3 linked regions of the Caenorhabditis elegans genome follow. The protein of the gene in region 1 interacts with the protein of each later gene in a pairwise test. Each region holds a gene or a part of one and is shown in the gene's direction. Other genes may lie near its edges.

Evidence for each region.
Region 2: the proteins of unc-57 (region 1) and ced-5 interact in a two-hybrid assay, tested with the Caenorhabditis elegans proteins (one large-scale study listed by BioGRID).
Region 3: the proteins of unc-57 (region 1) and abhd-14 interact in a two-hybrid assay, tested with the Caenorhabditis elegans proteins (one large-scale study listed by BioGRID).

What each region holds. Positions count from the first base shown.
Region 1 is NC_003279.8:4,673,069-4,676,824, forward strand, and holds the start of unc-57 (Endophilin-A homolog), read left to right. Parts: upstream 1-2,066; 5' UTR 2,067-2,070; coding exon 2,071-2,406; intron 2,407-2,679; coding exon 2,680-2,808; intron 2,809-2,856; coding exon 2,857-3,009; intron 3,010-3,390; coding exon 3,391-3,578; intron 3,579-3,756. UniProt on the Caenorhabditis elegans protein: Involved in synaptic vesicle (SV) recycling in neurons probably by regulating clathrin-mediated endocytosis. By controlling SV endocytosis, regulates the rate of excitatory postsynaptic currents (EPSCs) at neuromuscular junctions and thus locomotion.
Region 2 is NC_003282.8:10,482,164-10,485,919, forward strand, and holds the start of ced-5 (Dedicator of cytokinesis protein 1), read left to right. Parts: upstream 1-1,946; 5' UTR 1,947-1,961; coding exon 1,962-1,992; intron 1,993-2,035; coding exon 2,036-2,392; intron 2,393-2,441; coding exon 2,442-2,635; intron 2,636-2,682; coding exon 2,683-2,819; intron 2,820-2,866; coding exon 2,867-3,084; intron 3,085-3,312; coding exon 3,313-3,756. Other genes in the region: F01D4.5 (PHD-type domain-containing protein), read right to left, coding at 630-646, 687-906, 957-1,100, 1,145-1,329, 1,380-1,485.
Region 3 is NC_003282.8:1,028,086-1,031,841, reverse strand, and holds the start of abhd-14 (AB hydrolase-1 domain-containing protein), read left to right. Parts: upstream 1-1,802; 5' UTR 1,803-1,825; coding exon 1,826-1,981; intron 1,982-2,038; coding exon 2,039-2,160; intron 2,161-2,212; coding exon 2,213-2,414; intron 2,415-3,569; coding exon 3,570-3,657; intron 3,658-3,721; coding exon 3,722-3,756.

The sequences.
Region 1 (3,756 bases):
TTTTTCATGAACAAATAAAAAACAGCATGAAAAGCATAATCTTGGTAGACATAAGGGTTAGAATTTTGCCTAAAATTATAAAAATGGACCGAATAAATTCAATAATGTAAAAAAAATGAACAAACATTTCTCAAGTTTTCAGTTTTCCATAAAAAATTATAAATTTATGTAAAATTATCGATTTTTAGACCAATTTTGAAGATTTTCTTTCGGGTTATCAAGTTTTCTTTACGAGAAAATGTCATAAATTTTTTTGCAAAATTGAAAAATCATTGGTTTTTTTTCTTGAAATTTAGAATAATTTTATAAATTTTTAAACACTTTTTTAAAATTCGACCATTATGCTCCATTTTCTAGCATTTTAAGCAACCCCGTCTTTAAAAAGCTGCATTTAAATTATATTTAGCTTTAAAACTCTTTTTATGCTAGGAAAGTGAAATTTCGTTAATCATTATCCAACAAATGCTCTCTGTCGGGATAAAATTTAACTTTTCCAATTGTTTTCCAGATTTTTCCAAGTAGCAACCCTTGAGTGTGCCCAATCATTATGCCTATCCACACACACAAACATTAAGTAGTGGGTAGGCTAGAGTCTTTCATGCACAAGCAAATATACACCGATTCGTCTTTTTTCCCTCTATCTGCCACATAGATAAAAGAAAGAATAACCTTCTCCTCCCCCACAACACCACCACCACTAACGGCGTCTTCTTCGTCTCAGTTTTCTTTGCTTTACGTAATCTACGTCTTCTATTTTTTCGGGGTGCTCTCTTCGGTTGGAACTATGTGTGAGAGTAGTGTGTTTCGTGTGTCTGTGTGAGTTTTTCCTCATCTTTCTCTCTCTTTTCGCGCGGAAAGAGGGCGCCCGAGGTCGGAGAAAAAAAATGAAAGGCAGAGAGGATGGAGGACACAGAGGAACGAAACGAAAATAACTGAATCGATACATCTGTGGGGTTGGCGGTGTTGAAGAGAAGAAGACGAAGAAGAAGATGAGGGGGTGGAGCTCTCCGTGCACAACGGCTTCTCCTCCCCCATCTTTCTCTCCCGTGCTTCTCCTTTTACTAGAGTCCGGCGTTGTGTTGTGTGTGTGTGTCCCCGCCTTTTTCCGGAATACGAAAGTAGGTCTAGTTAATGGTTAACTACCTCTCTTGCTCCGAAGCAGGCTTTTTCTTTAATTGCTTCTTGCAACTTTTCTGAAGCTCTACCTTTCTACTGGGAACTTGTTTTCTTTGAAATTTAGAGTTTTTAAAACTTCCTTCAGTTCTCATTCTCATGCTTTATAACCATAAAAGTGTACATCAGAATAAATCCTAGATCATAAGATCATTCACATTAGCATTTCTTTTTGGAATGCTTTTTCCGAGAAAACTGCACTTTTGAGGATTTTATCTTCGAACTGAAAATTCGAGTTGTACTTTTGAAAAAGTTTGTAGCGATCTACCTGATGTCAGTTTTATTTTAGATTTCCTGCACAGTTTCTTTCATGAATTTATAATGTTCAACCTTTAGTTCTCTCAGTTTTAAGGTTTAATGCAAAGTTTTACATACAGCCTGAGGGTCTGTGGATTTTTTTGTTTTAATTGATAGAAAATACCAGATTATACCTATGAAAAATAGTTTTTAAATTTCAAAATTTGATGAAAAATCCGAAAAAAGTGCCAAATTTTGCTTATAATCGAAATTTTTCTAGAAAACCGACCAAAATATACAATAAAGATAAATATTTTGATTAAAAAAAACTGTATTCCAACTGCTGAAACAAGGGTGGAAATTATTTTTACACTTTTTAATTTATTATTACAAAATCATTAGAATTTATAATTTTTCAACAGTTTTATCTGATCTTTAAGTGGTATTTTCTTTCATTTAAAATAAAAAATCCACAGGCGAAACTCCAAGAATTCAAGAAGCTCATTTTATCGAAACTTTCAAATCTTGCTCACCGTGATTCCCAAGTGTTTTAAATCTAAAGGAAAATAAGTCTGGTTTTTGAATATTTATTTTCAGTTGTTTTAATTATCAATTAATTAACATGTTATTCCGAATCTAAAACTCAAAATTTTCAGAAAAATGTCGTTGTCGGGGTTACGTAAGCAATTCAACAAGGCGAATCAATACCTTTCGGAGACGATGGGCGCCGCAGAGCCAACAAAACTTGACGATGTGTTCAATGAAATGGAGAAAAATGTGGATACAACGTATAATTTAATTACGGATCTCGTCGCCGGAACAAATGAATATCTTCAACCAAATCCAGCTACTCGAGCAAAAATGGCCACACAAGTTGCCCTGTCAAAAGTTCGTGGAACTACAAAAACGTCACCGTATCCACAAACAGAAGGAATGTTGGCTGACGTCATGCAGAAATATGGACAACAATTGGGTGATAACAGCGATTTGGGAAAGGTTTGCCATCCCTTTTGGAATTTTAATTTCTGAAAAAAAACCCATTTTTTAGCAACATTTGTCAATATTTGTTCTGTGAGCAATTTCTGAAAATGTGACCAAAATACAGCAAAAATAAAATTACTATTTATTTTGTTTATATTAATAATTTAATTGAAACATTAGGTTGATATTAGAAAACCACTACTTCGGTATTTTTTAGATTAAAATTTTTTGCACGGCTTCAAAATCTTCTTAATCATAATTTTAAATTACAATTTTTTTCAATTCCAGAGCCTAAACGATGCTGCAGAAACGTATCGACAAATGGCTGATATCAAGTATCAAATGGAGGATAATGTTAAACAAAACTTTCTCGATCCATTAACACATTTGCAGAATAATGAGCTGAAAGATGTGAATGTAAGCTTTTTTGCGTAAAAAAGGGTTTATTATTAATTCATTATTCAGCACCACCGCACAAAACTGAAAGGACGTCGACTTGACTACGACTGCAAAAAGCGTCAGCAACGACGTGATGATGAGATGATTCAGGCGGAGGAGAAGCTGGAAGAATCAAAGCGACTCGCTGAAATGTCAATGTTCAATGTGCTTAGTAATGATGTGAGTTTTACGATTTTTTTTTGGAAGTTTTTACTATTTTCCCCTATTAGACTTGCTATTTGACATCGGTTACCCTTAGTTTTATTTTTAAGAAGGATTATTCTCAAACTTACGAATATAACAAAAGAAAAACGGGAAAAATCCGTTAAGATTTCGAATTTTTATGTCAGAAAAATCAACGAAAAACCTTCAAAATTTAACTAGCGAAATCATAGGCCACGAGGATTGTTCGAATTTTGATCCTGTTCTATACTATGTTTTTAATCAGTATTTTATACAATTCCTTTCAATATAAGCTGTCAAAGTTTAATTTTTTTTTAATCTGCTGAAATTTTTTTCCACTTCCCCTTTTAGATATAATCACAAAAAAATTCTTTTCAGGTCGAGCAAATATCTCAACTACGAGCCCTCATTGAAGCCCAACTCGATTTCCACCGACAAACAGCCCAATGTCTCGAAAATCTACAGCAACAACTTGGCCATCGAATCAAAGATGCAGCTGCCAGGCCTCGTGAAGAGCATGTTCCATTATCAGTTCTTGCAAATGAGAGCAGAACTCCAAGATCCAGGTTGGTATAAGCATGAAGAGTGAGAAAATGCATGTTTGTTGTGAGATTTTGAACGCTCAAAAAGACCTAGTTTTTAAAAAACAGCTAATTTCTTGAGATGCACTTTTGAGATTCAGCTGAAATCTCCAATTTCGCCAACATTTTATTGAAATGGAGCTGCCCCAAAAAGCTGAATAAA
Region 2 (3,756 bases), on another chromosome or scaffold:
GAATTGTTATTCACTTTTCATTGACGCGCGAGCGCATCTGATAGGTAAATGTTCGCCAACATTTTTAGCCTATTATAGGGAAGCAGAAAAATGACTTTTTGAAATCGACGTGAAAACTCGCTCCTTGGTTAATTGAAAACGCTCCGCCCCCGAACCATGGGTCTCGTGGTATTTGGAGTTAAATCCGTAAATTCGATTGTTTTCAAATTTTTTCAGCTTTCTCGTCTTTTTAATGATTTTATGGCAAAATTTAAGACTTGAAATTTTCAGAAAACTAAAAATAACAAAATAGACAAAAGATGGTTGAAATTTATGCCAAATTCCTGACGAGACCCGTGACTCGGGGGCGGAGCGTCATCACCTAGATTTCAAAAAGAGGAAATTTTCTGCATCCCAATAATAACAAGAATCGTTATTCAAGTGTTGCGAAAATGTGGAGTTTCAATAAAATTAAATTTGTATTATAAAACTGAAATCTTTTATTTCGTTGTTTCAGTGTGCAATTGGTAAAACATGGGACATGAGAATGTAAAAAATGAAAAAAAAACATAATTGAAAAGCAAAACTTGTTTGATGAGAAATGAGAATCGATTTTTCACGAATTGCACAAGAGAGCGTGCTCGTCGAGTTTATAGCCTGTAAAAAACTGATAAGAGTGGGAGGTATTTTGTCTGGAATGTCTGTACCTTTGTTTTTGGCACATGGGTAATGAATGAACGTGTTTTTCTTATTTTGTACAGAAATTGCGGCACCAGTTTTGCGGCAAACTATGCACGTTTGAGACCAGAAAATATCGATTTGATTATCCAGATTTGTTAGCTGATTGCCGTGAAGATGCACATTTGGAGCCCATAAAACACATGAGCCATGGAACCATAATTCGATTTTTGTAGGTTTTTTGGCAGTCTGAAAAGTTAATTAATTTTTAGATTTTAGAGAATGGGATGGGTTGTTACAGGTTTCTTAGCCAGGAAAGATGGCCAATATTTAATTGGATTATGTGTTGCATAATATGGTCCAAAAAGTTCTCGTTTCTCTCCATTTTCGTGGCACAATGCACACACATAGGAAGATTCAATGGCGTCTGACTGCTCTTCCCACTGAAAATTAATAATAAAAATTAGATTTATCATTTTAATCGTACCTGAAAAAGCTTTGTCATGTGAAAATCCAAAGTTCGATTGACAGTTGCTTCGTGATTCCCCGAATTTTTGATAACTGATTTTCCATTTCTCACTTCAAACATCGGAGTCTCATCTTTTCTATTTGATTTATACTTTGAACCAAATTTTTGATTTATTTGAGTGGCCATATTTTTGTTCTCTTCGTCTGTAAATCAAAGTGAAGAAAAAATATTTTTATTATAAAAACCAATTTACACTCTTCATCTTCCTCATTTCTTTTCTTCTTCTTCACACGTCTCCGTTTTTTGGGTGGTGATTTATGCACTGAATTTGATGTAGATTCTAGATCATCAATTTCCATTGGTTTTCTGGAATTTTTTTTCTGATTCTATAGAAAAAAATTTAAAAATATAACACGAAGTTACCATAAAATATAGATATTCACATTATATTTATGACAAAACATGCATTTTATCGGTTTTGTTATACATTAACTATTAAAATATTAAATTTAAAACTGTTAAAAATTCAATGGAATCCAAAACGTATACGGTTATTCTGCCAATTGACTTCCAAATTCATTCTCCCGGCAACAATGGCCTAGGTTCCACAAGCATAAATCCTCGGCCACGGTTTGTGGACTCCTCTCGGATAAACAGTTACTCATCAGAAATAAACAGTTCTCGTGATATTTACGTTTGTTTCTCACAGAAACTGTCTCCGTTTTGATTTGTATATTTATATTTGATATTTTAAATTAATATAACGTAGTTTTAAATTAAATTGTCCGTTTTAATTGAAAATTCAAGCTTAAATCTTCAGATAAATGAGTTCGTAATGGCAACGACGGGTTTCTATTATGCAATCGGTTTGTTTTCACTTCGCAACTATTTAAATATCTTATTTTTCAGTTCAATACACATTTGAGGATCCGCTTCCATCTTGTGATGCTCCACGATTAGAACTTTTTATTGGCGATCGAATATGTGTTTACGGGCAGCACGGAGAGTGGGGATATGGTCGAAAATTTGACGAGAAAAATGGAAAATGTGGGATTTTTCCACTTGCCTATGTACAAATCGTTCAAAAGTCCATGTTCGTATCGACAAGTGACGGATATCTCGTTGTGGATGAAATTTCCAGAGTTATTAATGAATGGTGGACCAAAATTAAAGAATTGATGGTGGAAACGACAAGGATTGGATCATTCGAAGACTTGATGGATAGTTTTAATGAACTACTAATAATAAAAACTAAAATCGAAAGTGGTAATTTTGTTTCTTTATCAGGAATATAGTAAAATAATTATGCTTTTAGGTGGGATTCCAATTGAAGAGTTGAGCAAACTCCGATTGCGCGTTTCAAAACTGGTAGACCGTGGAAATACAATTCTTGGCCAAGATGTAGTGATTCGCAATGAAGAGGGTGTTCCGCTTGACGTTGAATCACTTTCACTTCTTAGAACATATGAAGCACACATTTCTTCGAAAGGAAGGGTCGGATCATTGATGGTATACTATTTTTTCTCTTACAAGCAATATATTTTTCAAATTTTCAGCGGGAGAAACCTGAAAATGTTACAATCAACGATAGTTTCTCATTGCTGCTCTCCATTAAATCTGTCGAACTCCATTGTAAATATTCCTGTGAAATAAGCATATCACTATATGATCTGGACAAGAAAATGTTCACCACGTAACTCACAATTTTTCTGAAAAAGACAATAGTTGCATTATTTTCAGAGATAGTTATACATTTCTCTGGAACAGCGGTAGTGGAAAACACACGGATTTAAATTTGAAAGCACTGTTCACTGATTTTGCAAAAGAAGATATTCAGAAAAAGTATTTGATGGTAACTCGAGTTGTTCATGTATCACCGATTGAATCTTCTAATGCTACGATGAGAAAGCATGGACATCACGAAGCAACTATACCAAAGACATTTTATTGTAGGCAATGTGAGTTTAAATCACAAAATGAGCTAGTGTAGCATGTTCTCCCAGTAATTTTCGCCAATTTTTGGCGAAAATTGGTTTTTTTATTTTTATTTTCGCCTATCAATATCACTAAATTTTAATGAAAAATATTGGAAGAACATGCCCACTGCCTGATTTTGTAGAATTACCGGTTAGTAATTGCCGCGCAACCCTGGTTGGAATACAAAAATTTATTGCTGCTACTTTCAGCGTACGCCTCGGACATCATGGAAATGTCAAGCATCTTTCTTGCTGGTGTTGGCCACGAAGCAAAAGAACGTGTAATTTTCCTGAATCGAGAACCAGAACTTCCATTATCTCTAAAAGCATATCACGCTACAAATCGTATACCGAAGAATTTAAGCAACGATATGGAAACAAAACTATTGATAAGTACCCAATTAGTTCCTGGAAATGTTTCTCAAATCAAGGCAAGACACCCACATTTGTTCAGTAGATGTCCAGCGGCGATTCTACGAAGAGCTGATAGAACAGCAGTTTCAATTGAAGATAGTCGAAATGAGATGTATATTACTTTAATGCAGGCTGAATTATCTGGAAAATCATCTGATCGTAACATTGAGGCACGTCTTCATGTCGTGGAATCAAATGGACATGTTATGGAAAATGTTTTTGAGACTATTTCGGTTACTG
Region 3 (3,756 bases), on another chromosome or scaffold:
TTGGCTTTGGTGGCTCATATCTCGGTTATCTTTAGTGGTATCAAAAATTTGTTAACTAACAAAATGTTTGTTAAGTATTTTTCTATGATTTTCTAGTTTACGGTTTATTGATATCTTTCAAATAAAGCGAGATATGACCTGCCAAAACCAAAGTGAGAAACATGATGCATCGACTGACTCAACGTCGGCAGCTCATATCTCGGCTGTCTTTAGTTGTATCAAAAAGTTGTCAACTAACAAATTACTTGTTACATTTTTTTATTATAATTCTGTAGTTAAACTTTTTTTTTGATATTTTGATATCTTTAAAATAAGCCGAGATATTAAAGGTGGTGTAGTCGAATTTGAGACTATGCTTAAAAATCTTCTTTATGCTCGTACAAGTCGATATGAATAAGCGAAACATCACAAAAATTTCGCTAACGGAAGTTATGAGCCTTCAAAGTGCCGAAAAAAATCTCTTCGTCCATCTAATTTGAATTTCGCGCGCAAATGAGCGCCCCTCGTGTGTACTCCTCTCGGACAATCACATAATTAATTTATTGCTTTTCGGCAATTTTAGGTGATTTTTCGTACTTTAATGAGCCTATTCTCGTTTTTTATTGGAAATTTATGTTTCGAGAGACAATAAATCGTATTTTGTCAAATATTTAACGTAATACAGTACAAAAAATGGAGTAATAACTGGATAATTCAATAAAATGCTAGTTTTGTCTATTTTTTGGTGTAATTGAGCAATCAATCGGTTCAAATTATATTCATAGACTTTCACTCTTTGTTATTTCCATTAAAACACAGAAAAAACTATGAAAAATCTTTCAAAAATACGAAAAATCGCCTAAAATTGCCATATTTGATTGTCCGAGAGGAGTACACACGAGGGGGCGCTCATTTGCGCGCGAAATTCAAATTGGATGGACGAAGAGATTTTTTTCGGCACTTTGAAGGCTCATAACTCGCTTTAGCGAAATTTTTGTGATGCTTCGCTTTTACATATAGACTTGTAAGAGCATAGAGAATGTTTTAAAGCACAGTCTCAAATTCGACTACACCACGTGGTCGCTGGCTGTCTCAAAATTGCTATTTTCTCGCGGACGAGAAAACGTGAAAAAAATGAGCGAAATGGCCTTGAAAACGGTGGAAGAGGAGGATTCCTCGTCCCCCCGGTCGCGTAGTCCTCTCGGAGAAGAAAATAGCGTGTAAAAGATGAGACGCAGACAACGAGACGGTCTCATTTCTTTTCTTCGCTCGTCCGAGTGAATTTCACCGACAATATTCTGAATGGGGCGCGTTTTCATCGAAATTATGCAAAGAGACAGCCAGCGAGCACGTGCTACACCACCTTTAATTGTCAACGTGAATGGGTGTAAAACATGGTGCATCGACCAAAAAATCATCATTAGGTTTACTCTCGGTTATTTTATGAGTTATTATAAAGCTGTCAACTGACAAAACATCGGTTACATCCTTTTCTATGACTTTGTAGTTAAGTTAATTTTTTGATATGTACAAAATTGAACAAGATACAAGCTATTAAAGTTATGTGACGCATGCTCAAAACTTACCGTTAAGCTTTAATGGCTCATATCTCGAATTTCTTTGGTTTTATCAAAAAATTGTCAACTGACAAAATATTGGTCAGCTTTTTTTCTATAACAATGTAGTTTTTCATTACTTTATATTATTAAAACTAACCGAGATACAAGCTTCCAAAGTTAAACAATTCTAAATCCTTTCTTTCAATAAGCTTTGTTTTATCTCAATAATCTAACAAAACTATCAATTTTTCCAAATTTTCAAATTTTCAGCCCCGATCAATACAAAAATGGTTCTTCTCCACCACCAACCCCTAGGATCCCACCACGCCACCACCAGTGGGGGTTCTCTACTGGAACGAGCCGACCTTTCGCACCCAATTCCAGAAAATGCGCGGAAACTTGCACAGCTGGTGGAGTATGATGAGAGCCGGGTGGAGTTAGGGGTGAGATTTTAGCTTTTGCTTTAAGTTAATTTTGTAAAATTAGAGTTCGAGTTTCAGACACATTCAGTATTCGTCCGAGAAGCCCGTCCACCTGGAGCACACTATTCCAAGGCTACAGTCATCTTTTTACATGGACAGAGCTTCTCATCATCTACGTGGACAGAGAATAATTTGTTGAGGTGAGGTTTTTCTTGATTTCTAGCTTAAAATTCAAGTTTTCAACTATTTGAGAACATTCGCGGCTCTCGGCTACCGTGCCATAGCCATCGACCTTCCCGGCTCGGGCCAAACTCGCGGAGCAGCTATCCCACAAGCTGAGAAACCGAATTTTTTGATGGATTTCATCGAAACGCTGGGTCTGAAGCAGGTGATGATTGTGTGTGCTTCGATGGCGGCACAATATGTTTTGCCACTGATGACTTCTACGAGACATGTGAGTTTTTATCAAAAATTGAGATTTTTGGTTTCGAGCATTTGTCTATGTCAAGTTCCATCAGTTATATCTTTAAAAAAGATATCTAAAAAATTTCAGAAAATGTTTTTCTGCAAATTCAAATTGCCTACCATAGTTTTTCATAAAGTTTTAACATCCAGCTAAAATTATTCTATGAAAATGTTGCTTCCCGCGCGTCAGAGTGCTCCATTTCGGTTTGATCTAAGTAGATCTACAAAAAATGCGGGAGAAGAGGCGCAGAGTTCTCTGCTGATTCGCATGGTTAAGAACGTGCTGACCTCACATTTTCTTGGGCAAAAAAATCCCGCATTTTTTGTAGATCAACCCGTAATAGAAAAGCCTGGCACCACAACCAAAATTATATTCTTCATAAAATTTGAAATTGCCGCCAAGAAATATTTTCTCATAAAACTTTGATTTTTAGTAAAAATTGTTCTGGAGAACATTTGAATTTCCAGCAAAATTCTATTTTTCCAGAAAATTTGAATTTTCCGCCAACCTAACAGTAATTTTGACAACTATAACTTCTCGATGAGCAATTGTCTATGTCGACTTCCGATTTATGATTTTCCTTAAAAAATTAATGTTTTTGAGCAGGGGTGTGCGGCAAATTTGCCGAATTTGCCGAATTAGCCGAGCACGGCAAATTTCAAAAAAGTAGATTTGCCGAATTTGCCGAGCTCGGCAAATTTCGAAATTTGCCGCACACGTCAAAAATTTAACAGTACAATTTTGGCTAAAATTATTGATTTTTTCGCCAAAAATTTAGTAAAATGACACAAAATTGAGTTATTTTTATGCTTATGCAGACATACTACACGGAACTTATTCAGAAACCAGATGTGTGTTAAGAATTCGGTAGTTTTGGTGTTCCAAAAAACATCAAGAATTATCAAAATTTTCCGAATTTGCCGAGCTCGACAAATTTGCCGAATTTGCCGTGCTCGGCAAATAATGAAAAAAGAGATTTCCCGAATTTGCCGAGCTCGGCAAATTTTGAGATTTGCCGCACACCCCTGTTTTTGAGTAATAATTTTATCATACTCCTATTAACTATTTACAACATCAAACATAGAACATTGAACACAATTTGACACCAAATATTGCTCGTTCAATTTAATTTCACTATTGTAGCTCTCATGTGTGGTCCTAGTCGCCCCATCAAACACCCACGAAGTCGTCAGCCCTTCTTCCTATACTGTGCCAACTTTAGTGGTTTGGGGTGAGTTTTTCTTTCTTTTTACTGTCAAACAAAAAAATCATTGTTAACCTTCAAATCTTTCCAGGCGAACGCGACACGTCTCTGGGCCCCACTGCAGCT